Schizosaccharomyces pombe: one gene and its partner. The protein of the gene in region 1 interacts with the protein of each later gene in a biochemical or structural test. Each region holds a gene or a part of one and is shown in the gene's direction. Other genes may lie near its edges.

Region 1 (7,822 bases):
TCTTCCCAGAATTTTATTTTATTGTTTTCGTTCCCCATTGGTTCTTACATTCCGTTTTTATTCAAAACTGAAAAGTTTGTACCTCCATTGCTAGAAGTAATATACACAAGGAGCATGTTTCTTTTTTTACACTATCATTTGCGTGGCTCTAAACCAGTCTTTATTGCCTACCTTTGCAATAAAAGATATAATATCAATTGCATAAGAAATAATTCATTAATAAATGATAAATTTCATCGATTAAATAGATCGCTATTTTTCACACTGTATTATGGGCAAGTAGCGTAAAAAATATTAGCTCTGTTGGAGTTGACCGCTGGATCATCAAGTTTTACATACTATTTAATTTCGGCTGTAGCAAAGAAAAATATCCATCGATTTGCCATATTATCATATCTATTGCTTTCTGTGGTATTTTAACCACCGGTATTTCACTTCTACAAATGTAAACAAAGCACGTTGATTTGTTTACATTACAGTTGCCCCAGTAACACATTATGGATCAGCACCACAAAGAAAAATCATTCAAAATTGATGCTCAAATTCAATATTCTACAGGCTCAAGAAGGGATCTATACTTATTTTTACTAAACCCATAACTATCATCTCTGTTTCGTCTGCGGTAAAAAAAAAATTGTTTAGATTAATGTAAAAACAGAGCAAAATGAGATTTGTCACTTAGTACAACAATGTGTTACCTCTACACGCAACTCCTGAGTTGCGTCGCATGTTATTTGATGAGCTGACTTTGCGCACAAAACCAATACATAACAAAGAGATCTTAGGATTTGGAAGTTGCGCTACACCAAATACTTTTCATATTCGGTAAAGGGAAAGATTTTAAAAAAAGCTTCAGAATGGGATCAAGGTATGTACTAAATCTGATCAATCAATGTCTAACTAATCATTAGATTCGGTAGAAGAAAAGAACGCAATGGCGATATGTTGCCCTTGTATGAGTCTCAATCTCCTCAGCATTTAGACTCCTTGGAAAATGAAAATGATGAACGGATTTCAAAGTTAACTGGAAAAGTCAAGTCTTTGAAAGAGGTAAGATTTTTGCCATCATCAGGAAAAACATGCTAACTAATTTTAATAGCTTACTATGAATATTGGGACTGAGATAACGTCTTCTACTAAGTTGATGGAGTCAATGAACGACTCATTTGACTCGACCAAGTCACTTTTGAGCGGGACAATGACTCGATTAAAGAATGTTTCGAAGAATGGAGGAATTTCAATTTGGATGTGGCTCGCCTTCTTTTGCCTCGTTGCGCTTATCCTCGTTTTGGTAAGATTTTAGGCATTTTGCTTACTACCTTTACTCTTTTTTAGAGTTAGCATTTTTATGATTCATTTTATGGCGTGTATAATCTGTTAAAATTGTATACTTGAAGTTTCTTCATTCTCTTTTCTTCTAACATTTTCATTCTGATTATTTTAAACTTATTATCGATAGAAAAAAAACATTCATCCACCTTTGGTGTTTCCACACAAGTGGTTTGTCACGATAGGAACGCAAATCCTCAATTTTTGTTTTCCTAACGACTTTGTTTTTAACTTATTACATCCTGTTATTATAAGTTTCTATCTGTTATTCATGATACTAGCCCTTCACTCGTCGTCTTACCATTTTTGTAAATTGACGCAACTATTACATTTGAGTTTTATTCAAGTTTATCGGCATGCAGGTCATGTCTTTTGCATTTTCTATTCCCAAGCTTGAAGTATGGAATGTTTAAGTATGTGATACGAATCTTACTACTTAAATTTATTTGCTTATTACATTATTTCTGCGTCTAGTGTTCTTTTACTTCAATACTTGAAATAAAATTTTTTTTTTTTCTTTAAGAGTACAATCATGCTTCTATTCCTTTTCCTTTGTATTTTAAATGCATGTTATTTCGAGTTTCGACATATTGGGTAGGTTGCTGTTTAATAGTGTATTATGGGCACAATAATATTTACGTAAACCATCAGCGCTGTACACCTACCTATAGAAAGTTGTTTTAAGAAGATATTCGCTTTTTATATGTCTAACAGTATTTAATAACTAGTTTTCTTAAGCGGAAGTTTCGAAATTCGATCAGTAACCGTGAGTTTGTGTACAAAATGCTAGTATTGAAGATAGTTTTATTTTTATCTTTGGTGATATGGTTTAATTTAAAAAAGAGGACGGATAAGAAAAGAATTATTGTTCTCGTCCTAGGAGATATTGCAAGAAGCCCTAGAATGCAATATCATGCCGTTAGCTTCGCTAAACTTGGATGGAAGGTTGATTTGTTAGGCTATCAGCGTAAGTTATCTAAAATATTTGAATATTTTAATCTATACCACATTAGGTGTATTTGTTGTCACTAACACTGTCGTAGACCCCGGGTCATCTGTAGGACTTTTCGAAAGTCATGAAAACATTCGTTTTTATCCCATTCCTTCACTTCCTGCGTATCTTCAACCTAAGAACCGCCTTCAGTTTTTGTTTTTGGGACCATTGAAGGTTTTACATCAATTTCTTGCACTGAACTGGGCTCTTTTTGTTCGAAAACCTGCTTCATTCCTGTTCATTCAAAATCCTCCTTGCATCCCTGTTTTCTTCATTGCTCAATGTCTTCATATACTACGTGGTACAAAATTTATCATAGATTGGCATAACTTTGGATATTCAATACTTGCGTTGAAATTAGGGAAGCAGCATACCTTTGTTAAATTACTTAAAATTTATGAGAAATACATGGCCCGAGGAGCATATGCTCATTTGACTGTCTCTAAACGGATGAAAGATGTTTTACAAACTTGGGGAATGAAGTAAGTATAAATTTGCTTTTTGCTCAACTCTAACATTTTCAAGTCCTTGCTATGTATGTTATGATAGACCCCCCAACCACTTTACTCCCATTAAAAATGAACAGAAAAAGCAAATGTCTATCAAAAAAATACCTTGTGAGTACAATCCTTCTTCTACGAAGCTCTTAATTACTTCTACCTCTTGGACACCAGACGAGGATATTTACATTTTATGGGAGGCTCTTAATGAGTACGACAAAACTTTAGATACGCCCAAGCTTTTGGTGCTGATAACTGGAAAAGGCCCGATGAAGGAAGAATTTTCTCAGTACATTAAGAAGCATCCATTACACAAAGTTCGTTTTTGCATGCCTTGGCTCAGTATTGAAGATTATCCGCAGGTTATGGCCTGCGCAGATCTTGGTGTATGCTTGCATACTAGTTCAAGTGGACTTGACTTGCCTATGAAAGTTGTAGATTTGTTTGGCTGTGGTGTCCCTGTTATTGCGCTTTCTTATCCAACGATTTCTGAATTGGTACATGATGGCGAAAACGGGTTGATCGTTAACGATTCAAAAGCTCTATCGAAAAAAATGCAGGTATGAAAAAAGATTTTTTTACAAAAAAAACCTTGAATAGCGATTCCTACATAATTTATTGGCTTTTTCGTACGATAACTAACTGTTTTAGTATTTATTAACTCATGCTAATGAATTAAATTCATTGAAACTGGGTGCTCTCAAGGAATCTGAATATCGTTGGGATGATGAATGGAACAAGGTCATCCCTCCTATAGTTCAAGGTTCAAATTAAGTATTTAGATATTACATTCTCAAACCTGAATTCCTAATTACCTTTTTTTTAATAGAATAATCCAATCGTTGTTACACTATTTGACCGCATTATACATGCTTAACGAATACTTTAATAATTATTAGAACTCACCACCAAAATTTTCTTGCTATCTTCTGCACACTGCTCTGCCGTAACTCCCTCTTTTTGGGAACATCTCTTTTAGAAGATCAATTCTCATTTTTTAACTCAGTTTTTCTATTTTTGTTTCTTATTAATTTTTCATAATGTCTGCGGAAGAAAAAAACATTGTTAGGGTGTTTCGTGCTTGGAAGACAGCTCATCAATTAGTCCATGACAGGGTATGTATTTGATAATCTTTTTTCTTCAAACATATTAGAATTATTAACAACTATTATAACTTAGGGTTACGGCGTTTCTCAAGCTGAATTAGATTTGACGTTGGATCAATTCAAGGCCATGCATTGTGGCATGGGTCGTAATTTAGAGTATGTACATTTATTTAAATCCATCGTGATAATGGATTAAACAATCCGATTGATTATAGAAGCAAATTCTGTTGATATCTGCGTATATGTCCATAGACGCCGGTATTTATAAATCGGTTTACTCTTAATCTGCTTTCTAATTGATGAACATGCTTCTTCTAAACTTCCTTTATCAATTTTTTTTTAAAAACTGTTTTGCTAATGCGTTTAGTCGTACAACTTTGAGTTTTTACGCAAAACCTTCCAATGATTCAAATAAAGGCACAATCTATATCGAATTTGCAAAAGAGCCCTCCGTTGGTATTAAAGAAATGAGAACTTTTGTTCATACTTTAGGTGATCATAATCATAAAACTGGTATTCTAATTTATGCCAATTCCATGACCCCAAGTGCCGCTAAAATCATTGCTACTGTCACCGGCCAGTTTACCATTGAGACTTTCCAAGAAAGCGATTTGATTGTCAACATTACTCATCATGAGCTTGTTCCTAAACATATTCTTCTTTCACCGGATGAGAAAAAAGAACTTTTAGACCGCTACAAGTTACGTGAAACTCAATTACCCCGTATTCAACTAGCTGATCCTGTTGCTCGTTATCTTGGTTTAAAAAGGGGAGAAGTTGTGAAGATTGTCAGAAGAAGTGAAACTAGTGGCCGTTATAATAGCTACAGAATTTGTGCATAATTTTAATTGGTACATGTGGGCTAGAAATATCGCTTCAAAACTACCATCTCTTTCTTTTTCTTAAAAAATTTCAATTTGAACATAATAATTTAAAATTCAAATCGAATAAAGCAATGTCTATAGCTATTACAATGAGCTTAAATTTTTGGATTAGATAGTTTTTAGAACAATACTTTATTAGTGATTTATTCAATAAAACATCAAGGGTTGGCATTCACGTTTACTTTTTATTACCAAAAGTAGATAGTTTATAGTCAGTACTGCTTTGTATCAATATTTCATTAAGTTATCATAGCACAAACGACTGTTTAAACCGAAGACTAAAGCATCTTCTTCTTGCTGGTACTTATTTTAAGCAAGCTAAAAATAAGTTTTATTATAGGTATACTAGAAAATAGGCATACTCGAATCTAATAAAGTGTGAAGGTTGAAAAGTTTGGCGTTCGTTAAAGTTTTAAGGACATTATCAGAAGTTGAAGCAAAGGACAGCCACTCCTTTCAACTATCATCATCAGGAAACTCCCACAAGTAACAATCAACACAATTCGGTGTGTGTGAGCAATCTGGTAATTTTTCGTATGCATCTATAACATCATTCAAAACAGTTTGCATACGATGGTGGGTAATAGAAAGATGCCACCCTTTGTCCTTTACAACATCATATAAACATTCCTGTCCTGTATGACAAGTTGATTCCATCGCATAACCTCCGGCCCAGCATAATGAAGTTGGACCTGTGCATTTGCCCAAATATATTGGATCAGCATTGTGACCAAAATGCCATACTAAACTTTCTTCGTCCGGTAATCCTGGAGGCATTGGAAGATGAAGACGTCGGGCAGCCATTCGATCACCAGGTGCTTCAAAAGTGACTGTTGGAATTCCAAAAGAAAGTCCCATTAAAGCGGCAGTAGCGCCACCTAATGAGTGTCCAGTCAGCCAAATCTGTGCATCAGGGTATAATTCTTTAACACTATAAAAAATATCCAATGATGCAGAATAATACCTTGAGTCATCTTGCACTTCATCCTCAAGGCAAGTTTGACTACAGGTGTATGTATTTTTATAGCAACCACAAACCGTAGACCAAGCCCAGCTGACACGAGCGCAACAACAGGAAAAAAGTAAATTGTCATTAACGCGATCCTTCTGCGAGGTACCGCGTCCGATTCCGAAGATGGACGTACCTTTCATCGCAATAATTATAGTGGAATTGTCATCATTGGAAAAAACATGTCCACGTAGACCATCTTCCTCCCAACCAAATCCTTCAGGTGGAGTTATATTCCAATCAGGTCCTAAATCTAACCAGTCCCCGTCGAAAGGAATTTTTTGGTAAGCATTGTAGCTCATCTTTCCAAGGGAGTAAATCGTTTCTTTATCAGTAATATCAGGAATCACGATTGCTTCCTGTTCCCATAAATCAGCTGGTGAATTCGCTTCAGAATAAATTCCTTTCATAGACTTATATCTATAATCAGTCAACGCATCGCGAGACTGATCCTTCAAGTGAACGGAATATCCTTTCTTCATTTTCAACGGCAATTTTGATTCACTCTCTGCGTAAACACTTTTCTTGGCCACATCTAGTCGATAATATGATATACTGTCCTCATTGAGTCCGTAATGAAATACATGCTGTAATTTGACATTAACCTTATCAGGCACATTTTCCGAAGATTTGATAACACTTTCAAATACTCCTGTACAACTAATCCTAATGATGAAACAAAAAAGGAAGAAAAAGCGCCTCAAGAATAGCAATTGAGACATTGCATGAATAGTTTGCTTTCCTTTTGTTTAAAAGAGCAACCGAAAAACGTTATGCGAATCTAATCCTCAATTCTAATAAATACAATGGGATAATTCAATGATTATGCTTTATCAGCTCATGTACATGCTTAACTCGTTTATGTTGCTCATAAATAGATGTTTTAAGTTACTTAACGCCTTTGGTAAGCAATAATTAATACATTACACTGCAGTAAGTTACGCATCATAGCGTGGTGTTGTATGCTGATAATGTCGCTATTTGATATAATATCTAGGTAATGGACACTGTAATTTGTGAATTTAGGATGAATGTATGGCATACAGGTTTTGTGACATGTTCTTCATAACGATACCGGAGCCTTAGACTATAATAATGCTATGATTGTAAGATTTATTTATATTGTTCCTAAATACGGCAATGTTCCTTCTCAGAAAAGACTTTGCAAATGTAACATGTTTTGCTATGGAGGACAAGGTATGAATTAATCATCCTTCGCTTTATAGTAGCACATTAGGTGCTTTTTATTCCCATGCTTAGCGGTAACCTATTTAATGGCAATAATGAACGCTTGAAATTTAACTATATTAGCAGTATGCGCAGCTCTTGTTGTTTCCCTAAAAGAATAAAGTCATATATGGATATATTCTCCTACATACGCATACTGATAACGATATCAACGTAAACATTTTTAAAGTCAGTTGGAAGAATTTAGATGTCCAATCTGAATTTTCTGTTTTTAAAGTCACCAAGACCTTCCAAATACAAATGCAAATCAGCAGTTTTGTTCAGCGTCAGAACCTTAGTTAGCATGATCTTTATCGTTATTTTAGCGATAAACATTTTTTCAAAGAAGTGCTAGGTCTCGTAAATAAAAAATAAAGACACATTGCATTGCAAAGTTTGCTTAACACTATTGAAGTTGAATTTTTATGTCTAGTAAACACTGAACTCTGGTTTGTGAGTAAATTATTGTTTGTAATGGGGAAAAGAAATAAAAAGGTATGATACTTTGTTAATCGGCCTTCTTTTTTTTTTTTAACAAAGATAGGTGACTCAGGGCAAAAGGGCTTACAATGACAAAAGTGAAATTGTCTTAGAGTAAGTGTACAAAGGTGCTTTTTTACGGGGTTTAAAGCTTTATTGGGATATTTTTAAGAAATACATTGAAAAGATCATTATTGTAGGAAATAGTCAGCTAACATGCAGAAATAAACAATTCGAAGGTTACTATAAAAAGCAAAATTTATTTCGAGGAAAGCCAAATGATGAGTTTGATA
Region 2 (8,451 bases), 3.7 Mb from region 1:
TCTGAATCAGATGCCATCAAATATTTTGAACAATTAATTAATGATTCTGTCAGTGCTCTGTTTCCTCAAATCATAGATCGCATGCACAATCTTGCGCAGTATATGCGATCCTAAACATTAATGACTTAATGATTATATGCCCACATTTACACTTTTTTTTTTATCCAAACTTGCTTTTCCATTATAGCTGTTGTTGAACTAATACATTATTATGCCTAGTAAAAAGGTTGTGTTTTCTAAAGAAAGTGATGAATTGTATAATTGACGGTGTGTAATTTACCGAATTCACCGAGAACAATCTAAAGTAGTTTTGCATAATGCATAAACCCCACAAATTGGAATGTCAACTATTAATACTGTATCATTAAATCAAGATGCCTCATGCATGTCTGTTGCGCTAGATACAGGCTATAAAATCTTTCAAATTAACCCTCTAAAGCTGCGCGCTCAAAGACGTAAGTTTTGCAATATGCAGATCTCTTATTTGAATATTTACAATTGTCTAGAGTTCAATGACGGTGGTCTTTCAATAGTCAAAATGCTTTTTAGAAGCAATGTTTTACTCTTAGTAGGCGGCGGTGGAAATCCAAAATACGCACCAAATAAGGTAAGTTTGAGTAATGCTTTGTTTTCTTTTAGCTAAGCTTGTTTACAGCTTATTGTTTGGGATGATGTGAAAGAGAGGCCGGTAAAAGAGCTTGAATTGAATTTTGAAATAAAAGGAATATGTTTCGATGGGAAATTGTACGTTCTTCTCTTTTATATTGCTTGTCGTCTTATTAACAACTAACATATCTAAGATTAGCAATTGCAACCGCATCAAAGCTATTTTTGTACCAATTCGGAAATAACTTAAAACTACAAAGATGCCTTGATACCCAGAATCCAAAAGGTAAGACATTCTTTGCTTAGCATAGTCGAAGCTGACTTTTGAAATGTAGGCTTATGCGCTATGGTTACTACTGTTGAGAAAACTGCTATCGTTTTTCCTTCTAGAAAGGTCGGCCAGCTGCAAATATTATTTCTTTTTAAGGATCATATGAACACTAGCATAGTGCCTGCACATGATAGTGAGATATCATGTTTGGGTATATCCAAAACTGGTTCAAAAATAGCATCCTCTTCAACAAACGGTACTTTAATTCGTATTTGGAATTCAGAAACTGGAGAAAAAATTTGCGAATTTCGTCGTGGCTATCAACACACGGCAGTTTGTCAATTAGCGTTTTCTCCCGATGAATTATTGTTGGCTTGTGCAAGTAAGAAAGAAACTTTACATATATTTTCTCTTCACGGAAGTCCTAATACAATTCGTCAATTAACGTCTGAAGAACCTTATGAGGAAGCAAGTGAATTTAAATCTTCTACAACCGAACCCCGTCAAACTCACTGGAAACGAAAATTACTTAAGTTAATTGATAGTGGAAAACGTGCACATTGGAGAATTCAGCTTTATCAATCTAACCCTGTACTTTTACATTGGTTAGATGAAATGACTATTCTTATTTGTTACAAGGATGCTGCATATCAGAAATTAAAGCTTACGATTGAAGAATCTTCCAAAAGTGTGGAACATGCTAATCAACATGTATGCTTTCATTATGATTATACACTAGAGGCAGATGGGTCTTTATGCTGATGACTTTCGATTTCTTTCTAGTACTTTACCTTTCTACATTAGATAATTTTGTATATAACTTTTCAAATAACGTCTCATTAATGATTTTATGTTAAACAATGATACTATCCTAATTGTGCATGAATTTTAATACGTATCAAGTTTTAGCTAGTTCACCGAAGAATTTATTGAACAACGGACATTGTGAATAAATTTATAGTAATTTAAGGCAATGGACCACTTTTAAGACTATTATGTTTGAATGTCATTTTAAAAGATGTTTTCTAAATTAACAGTCTTCATGACTATAGGCATTTAAAGAGTCATTAGTTAACGCCTTAAGCAGTGTCTTTTTGTGGTACATTCTCCACTACTCCATCACCCTTTATTATTCGCTGCAAAAACCTTCCTTCGATTTATCGTATCATTTATCTACTATGTCCAATGCTCCAGAAATAGTACAGAGACTTATAAAAATGATTATGAGGGCGTTTTACGAAACTAGACATATAATATTTATGGATGCGATTTTGCGACATTCAGCGTACGTGCTTCACAAGATCAGAACGATTTTAACCTTTGGTAGACTTACAGATGAGCAAACAGCGCTGTTAATGGGTATCCCTATAAAAGAATGTCGGTTTATTGCTGGAAAATTGCGCGAGGATCGTTTATTGGCAATGTACGTGAAGGCAATTCCATGACCAGCTGCTAACCTTTCAGTCAAAGTAGGACGGAAATGAAGGAAGGCCAACAAAGGCAATATCATACAACCTATTTCTATATCGATTTCTGTTCTACGATTGACAGCATTAAATGGCGTATGCACCAATTAGTGAAAACAGTAGAAGATCGAATGCGAAATGTAAGTTCCTTTTTTAATTGGGCCTTTTTTCATAAAAGGTTTACCATATTGTTTCCTTCTTTTTGCTTAGTGTTTTACCCACTACTTTTACGAATCTCTTATTATCGTCACTTTCACTAACTTAGCAGGATTTCGATTCTAAAGGCTATGTTTGTCCATTTTGCAACAAAAAGTTTTCTAGCCTTGACGTTTTGTCTTTGGTGACCAACGAGGGAACTTTTGCTTGTAACGTTTGTGGAACCGAACTCAAAGACGATGAGGAGAGTGCAGAAATGATGTCTAGTCAGAAAAGGCTAGGAAAACTGATGGGACAAGTTAATGGTATAATCGATGCATTGAAAAGGGTGGATGAAATTGTCGTACCACAAAACAATTTCCAATCTGCTTTAGAACATGCGGTTCCTGTTTCGTTAGACACCCAAAATTTGTCGCAACAAAACTTGTCAAAAAGTAATTCAGACGTCCGTCTTTCCACCTCTTCGCCATCTATTACAGTTGATTTCTCTGCTGATAAAGAGACTGATGAAAAGCGTGAAAGGAATTGCGACAAGCAAGTCAAAGCTGCTCAAAACATTCTTCCCGAATGGCATGCAACATCAACAATTTCTGGCTCCATTACTCGTGCTGGAGCTAAAGATGCCGCACTTCATAGTTTTAGAACTGAAACTGTTAATGAGGTTCAAGACACTAAAACAGATATTACTTCTGAAAAGAGCGCCTTAGATGCTTATTACGCAACACTTCGTGCAAAGCAAAAAGAGGAAAGCGAGTTTATGGACAGTGAAAACGTAGATGATGAGGAGGATGATGACTTCTTAGACGTTACGACGGCTACCTCTCTTCAAAACAAAAGTACTGATTATGGGTCGGTCAAGCGTAAAACCGAGAACCTAAATTCAGATAGTGATATCCAAAATAAAAGAACAAAATCGATAGAAGAAAACAATTCATTACCACCTATTGTTTCTACAAATGGTATTACTGATGGTGATACGGAAATGCAAGAAAGTAAAAAGAATGTTATTATTAATGGATTTAATGAGGACGATGAAGACGATGAAGATGAAGCTGATTTTGAAGATGTTTAATAAAAATGACATAGGGGAGAGAGCAATGTGATACCAAAAAACAAAGGTGTTTATACCTATGTATTCATAGAATCTTTTTGTAATAAATAAATGTTAATTTATTTTTTTAACAGTATTCATCAGTGCACGTATCCTGCTAACTATAATGGCAGCTTCCAAGGCGGACAAAACTTCAAAATCATACCTGAACTCGTTAGCTTATTAGCGTTAAAAAATTTCTTACCGCTTAGTTTCCCTATTCTTGGACACAATCATTTTAAAATTACATGGTGATTTTTTAGACTGCTTGCATAAAATAATCGATCCAGCATGTATACTGGACGTCTTAGGCGTTTCAAATATATTTTTGGATTCAGACGGCATTATGTGAACGTATTCTCCATCAATAGCTAGTAGACGCTCATGTCTTCCCATAAATGAAACAGGTTGTCGTTTCCATACAAGAAATTCTTGATAGGTATTGCTCGACATAATATCTGTTGCATTGTATGTTGAAGATTGTGCATCTTTCTTAATAGATCCATAAACGGAATTTTGTGGTGAGGAGGTTGGCAATTGTTGGGTACTTCCTTTTTTATCGCGTACCTTCTTTTTAACAAGTTCTAGAGTTGGATTTCCGTCTAGTGAACTAAATGTTTTATCAAGTGGTAAAACAGTATCAGATCCAGCAACTCGCAGAGTATACTTAAATCGCTCCAATTGCTTCATCCAACACACCTGGTTCAACACCATAGCCAATCTAGTAGTTTTTGATATTTCAATATTGCAAAATCGAGCATTATCCCCGTATGGGGGAAGTCGTACCTGTACGACATGAGAAGTATTAAGTGTATCTTTGACATCCTGAGCTTGCTTTTGTGATTGACTTGAAGTTGAACTAGTATGCCGAATATGCGTTTTGTTATTGGCTTCAGGAATTGATGTTGGATGCTTCGATTTAAACGGGTAGGCAGCTTGATTTTCCTTTATTTGGGCAGGAGTGGCTTTAACTAAAGCAAATGCGTCAAAACCAAATTTTGATAATGGACCTACACGGTCCAAAGCGGGAAAATCTTCATCTAGCTCCCCGTCATCTTCAACAATACGTAAATTCCAATAATTCGGATTTTGAGCCTCATCTTCTATTGGGGGCACGAGTTGCTGGTTAACGTATTGAAGTAAAATATAACCGATAGCCTCAGAGACCAAAACATTCTTTCGGAGTTCTACAAATAAGGGCTTTGAAGGACTTTCGCTCGAAGGAAAATAAATGTTTAAACGGAGGGCATTTGATTCTGCATGTCCAGAAAAAGTAGCAAAATTTTCAGCCAATGGCCCATTCTGGCTACTGTTTTCTTTATGTTCAAGTAATGCACGAAGAGCAGATGTAGGAGCCTTTGCGTTCGAAACAGATCTTGCTTTATTGACTGTATTGTGTGTTCCGCGTTGCTTACCAGGAAAAAGAGCATCAACCGCAACAACTGCATCAGCTTCAGTGTCAGTTAAGGAAGAATTCATTGGAAAAGTAAGAGGAATTTCTCCTTGACTTAAATGAAATGATTCCTCAGAAATCGACCGTAGATCATCATAATCCGTAGAAACACTGCTTTGCTGGTTTATGGAAGACTGTTTGGACGAGGTTAAATTCACTGCCTGCGAGGATTCTACCATGTTGGTAAGCTTAAGATTTGCGATAGCATCAATATTATTTAATGTGGAAATTTTGGGGTCCAGTCTTTCCTCTTCTTTTATACTTGCAACATCCTTCTGCATTGGGACTTTGCTAAAAGAAAATATACACGAGTTATCGTCATCACCCACATCTGAAGATTCGGATAAGTCAGAAGTAGCATAATCAGAATCTTCAGCTCGAGAATGATTAACTTGACCCCCAGCACCATTTACTTGTTTAGTATCACTCGGCTTTCGGACATTGGATACAGTGTCATTAGCGACAATCGGGGGACTTGAAGAAAACGAAGTTTTAGAATAATCATAATCATGAATCAACAAGTCTTGCAATGATTTGTCCAATTCCCATTCCGGGGCCTCAGTAGATATAACTCGATTTTCGATTGAGTCAGGAAGTATATGAGAATATTGCATTCGCAAAAATGTTAACAAAAGACTGTAAAATAAACGTATTAGTTTGTATAAGTTTCATAGGAAAAAAAATAGTATCCTTACACTTTCTCTCTTGTTAATTCCATTCTGAGTCCTTATTATATCGCATTTACAGACTTTATAAAATATTTAATTTCAACGAAGTTTGAATACTTAGCGACCATACTTTTTATGGCACCTTAATATAGAAAATTTGTAAACTCAATTATGTGAAACGTTGGTGACGGACGCCGCGTGCTTTATTTCAGTTGCTATGTATCCCCCGCTAAGCATTTAATTAAGTGTTGGGGGTAACACCGTAAAGTACCACCAAATTTCAAAAGACAGCAAAATATGAACGAAACTATTAATTCAAACAGTTATTAACTGAAGTACAAAAACGCTAGACAATGAAAAAAAGTGATCTCATATACGTTTTAGATATTGCGAAACAGCTAAAAATGGTATTTGAACTATATAGCAATTACGGTATTAATTATTTACAGAATAATGTAATTAAATTATTGTGGAATTTTTATTTTTTGAAGTTTCTCAAATGGCAAGCTTACGACTTAATAAATTCACTCGACAACGCCAAGCTAGAGTATTTTAAGGAATTTGATTTATTTACAAAGCCAAGATAAACGTTTTGAGACAACTTATTTTGACAACGTTTCTTCGGATCAAGGGAAACTTTCAAAAATGAAGTATTTTGCAACTGAAGTATAAATATACATGGGGAGTAGTAAGTAATTGCTATCCGATTTTTAACAGCTTATATAAAACGAGCTCATTTCAACCGAATCTAGCTTCTCGATGGTAGATAAAATGAACATTATGTATTATGCGAGGGAAACAACAAAACCAATGAAAAATGCAAGACGATATAGATAAAGGAGAAGATAAAGACCAAATGTGATTTAAATAGAAAAAGTGAGGTCGAAGCAAATGGTCAATTTAAAAACTCAGCGAAAGAAATGATTTGGTCCAATTTTTGTGAACCATTGAACATTGCCCCAAATGCTGACGAAGTGTAGACATCCACTCATCTTTTTCGCCGACGGTTTCAGCGTAAAAATCGATGTAGTCCCCATTACTGAAAATGATACGGAAACCCGATTCGAAATACAGATACCCTTCTAGTTCTTCTTCATCACTATAATGGTTGTCATCCACGATATGTGTGGCTTCAGACAAATCAATCGTTGCTCTGCGAACTTTAGAGAATTGTTGAAAAGCTACTAACTTTGATCCTATTAATTGAAAATAGCGACGACGCCAATAAGGGCAATCCCCACCTTGTTGACATAGATAACCATCACACAATAAAGTTCTATCCCATTCAGCAAGCTTTAAGTCATACATGGCAGACTCGATTGAAGCGGGAAGTTCTTTCAGAGAGACAGGAAGCGCTGGTAAGAAAAATACGTGGATTTCGAGTTCTCCTACTTTTCGAGGGAGAGGCTTGACATCTTTAGCTGCCGGATCAACAGTCCATTTGTTCATGATTGGTAGAACCATAGATTGACAACGGCCTAGTGCGGTTCGGCTTACAGAATCAGTGTTAATGGTAACTTCGCCGAAAGTTCCATCTTCAGAAACAAATCCATGAAGTGCTTCTGAAACGGGGTCGGTAGTCATAGACTTTCTCTTATTTGTTGAAAATACTTTTCCAAGTGTAGAACGAGTGCGAACCTTAGGTGGATCGTAAGCCGCACGGAGCGTACATACAATTGAAGAACTAATACTTTCATCAAAAGTATACTCATTTTCAATTTTAGTAGTAGAGTGTAAGGCGTTCCATGGTACTTGAATGTGCTTACCAGAGATTGTATAAGTGAACCTAGTGGTCATCCCCGATGCCAAAGGAATAGTTAAGTTTCTGATTTCCATAAGACGGACAAACAATCTTCCACTCCCGCCGGTTTGTTGCAAACTACTGGACAAATTTCGCGATAACGATTCTGGCATATAACAAGAATTGACAACGCGCCGCGAAGTTTGCATTTCTTGTTTCTGACTAGTGGCATGTACAACTTTAGAATTCTGTCGTAGCAAATATGTCCTAGTCAAAGCGTCAAAGGCTGAAAGAACATTTGTAAAGCGAGGATCTGGTAAAGAAACCACTTTTGGAAGAAGCGGTATCGGAGCATTTTCGTCAAGAACATGAGGGGAATCTAAAGAGGTGATGGAGCTCGTAAGTGGCTCTTCGTATTCATGAATAGAATCTGAACGGTAGATATCAGTCCTACAATTCTCTCGGTTCTCATCTGCGAATGATAAGCGAGGAGGTGTCTTTATATCTTGGAACGAGGACGAATCTTCAGAGAAACCAAAAGATGCAATACTGTTTATACCTTCGCCAAGACCAACCATGTCACTAACACTGCTAACTATACTGTTCGTAAAACTAGTGTCAGATGAATTATGAGAGTGAGTAGGTAACTCAAGTTTGACAGGTGGTGAAATTGAAACTTCTTCAAATTCAGCTGGCAATGTGTCCTCGTTAAAAAGCTTTGAATTACAAACGGAACGAGCAGGATTTTTTTTAGGAATTGGTATGTCGCCATGGCCCTGGTTAGATGAATTACTCTTTATCGAGTTGCGTGGAGTCGAGCTACGACTGCTTTTATTTGAAGCCTCATCATCAGATAATTTGATCAAACATGAATCGTTCAATGACAGTATGTTCTCTTTGTTTACGTCTTCAACACTTGTACTACTACTATCCGTTTCATTCATGACAGAGTAAGTTGGGGTCCTACGAACTTCTGTAGAAAAAGGAAGAAGAGACTGAT

Evidence for each region.
Region 2: the proteins of rpb5 (region 1) and tfa1 interact in far-western blotting, tested with the Schizosaccharomyces pombe proteins (one study listed by BioGRID).

What each region holds. Positions count from the first base shown.
Region 1 is NC_003424.3:1,050,872-1,058,693, forward strand, and holds rpb5 (DNA-directed RNA polymerase subunit Rpb5), read left to right. Parts: upstream 1-3,747; 5' UTR 3,748-3,863; coding exon 3,864-3,938; exon of another isoform or gene 3,939-4,002; coding exon 4,003-4,085; exon of another isoform or gene 4,086-4,176; intron 4,177-4,296; coding exon 4,297-4,771; 3' UTR 4,772-5,035; downstream 5,036-7,822. Other genes in the region: SNARE protein Bet1, read left to right, coding at 858-868, 912-1,050, 1,100-1,303; mannosyltransferase complex subunit Alg1, read left to right, coding at 2,113-2,296, 2,373-2,805, 2,849-3,383, 3,475-3,597; autophagy-associated lipase Atg15, read right to left, coding at 5,270-6,544; trm402 (tRNA (cytosine-5-)-methyltransferase), read left to right, coding at 7,524-7,544, 7,594-7,643, 7,752-7,822. UniProt on the Schizosaccharomyces pombe protein: DNA-dependent RNA polymerase catalyzes the transcription of DNA into RNA using the four ribonucleoside triphosphates as substrates.
Region 2 is NC_003424.3:4,742,529-4,750,979, forward strand, and holds tfa1 (transcription factor TFIIE subunit Tfa1), read left to right. Parts: upstream 1-2,000; 5' UTR 2,001-2,055; coding exon 2,056-2,162; exon of another isoform or gene 2,163-2,204; coding exon 2,205-2,300; exon of another isoform or gene 2,301-2,341; coding exon 2,342-2,483; exon of another isoform or gene 2,484-2,611; coding exon 2,612-3,571; 3' UTR 3,572-3,664; downstream 3,665-8,451. Other genes in the region: phosphatidylinositol 3-kinase Pik3, read left to right, coding at 1-114; WD repeat-containing protein Atg1803, read left to right, coding at 341-455, 507-607, 656-744, 801-892, 942-1,639; MAP kinase-interacting protein Sin1, read right to left, coding at 3,665-3,755, 3,795-5,678, 5,738-5,760; mid2 (septin ring organizing protein), read right to left, coding at 6,611-8,451. UniProt on the Schizosaccharomyces pombe protein: Recruits TFIIH to the initiation complex and stimulates the RNA polymerase II C-terminal domain kinase and DNA-dependent ATPase activities of TFIIH. Both TFIIH and TFIIE are required for promoter clearance by RNA polymerase.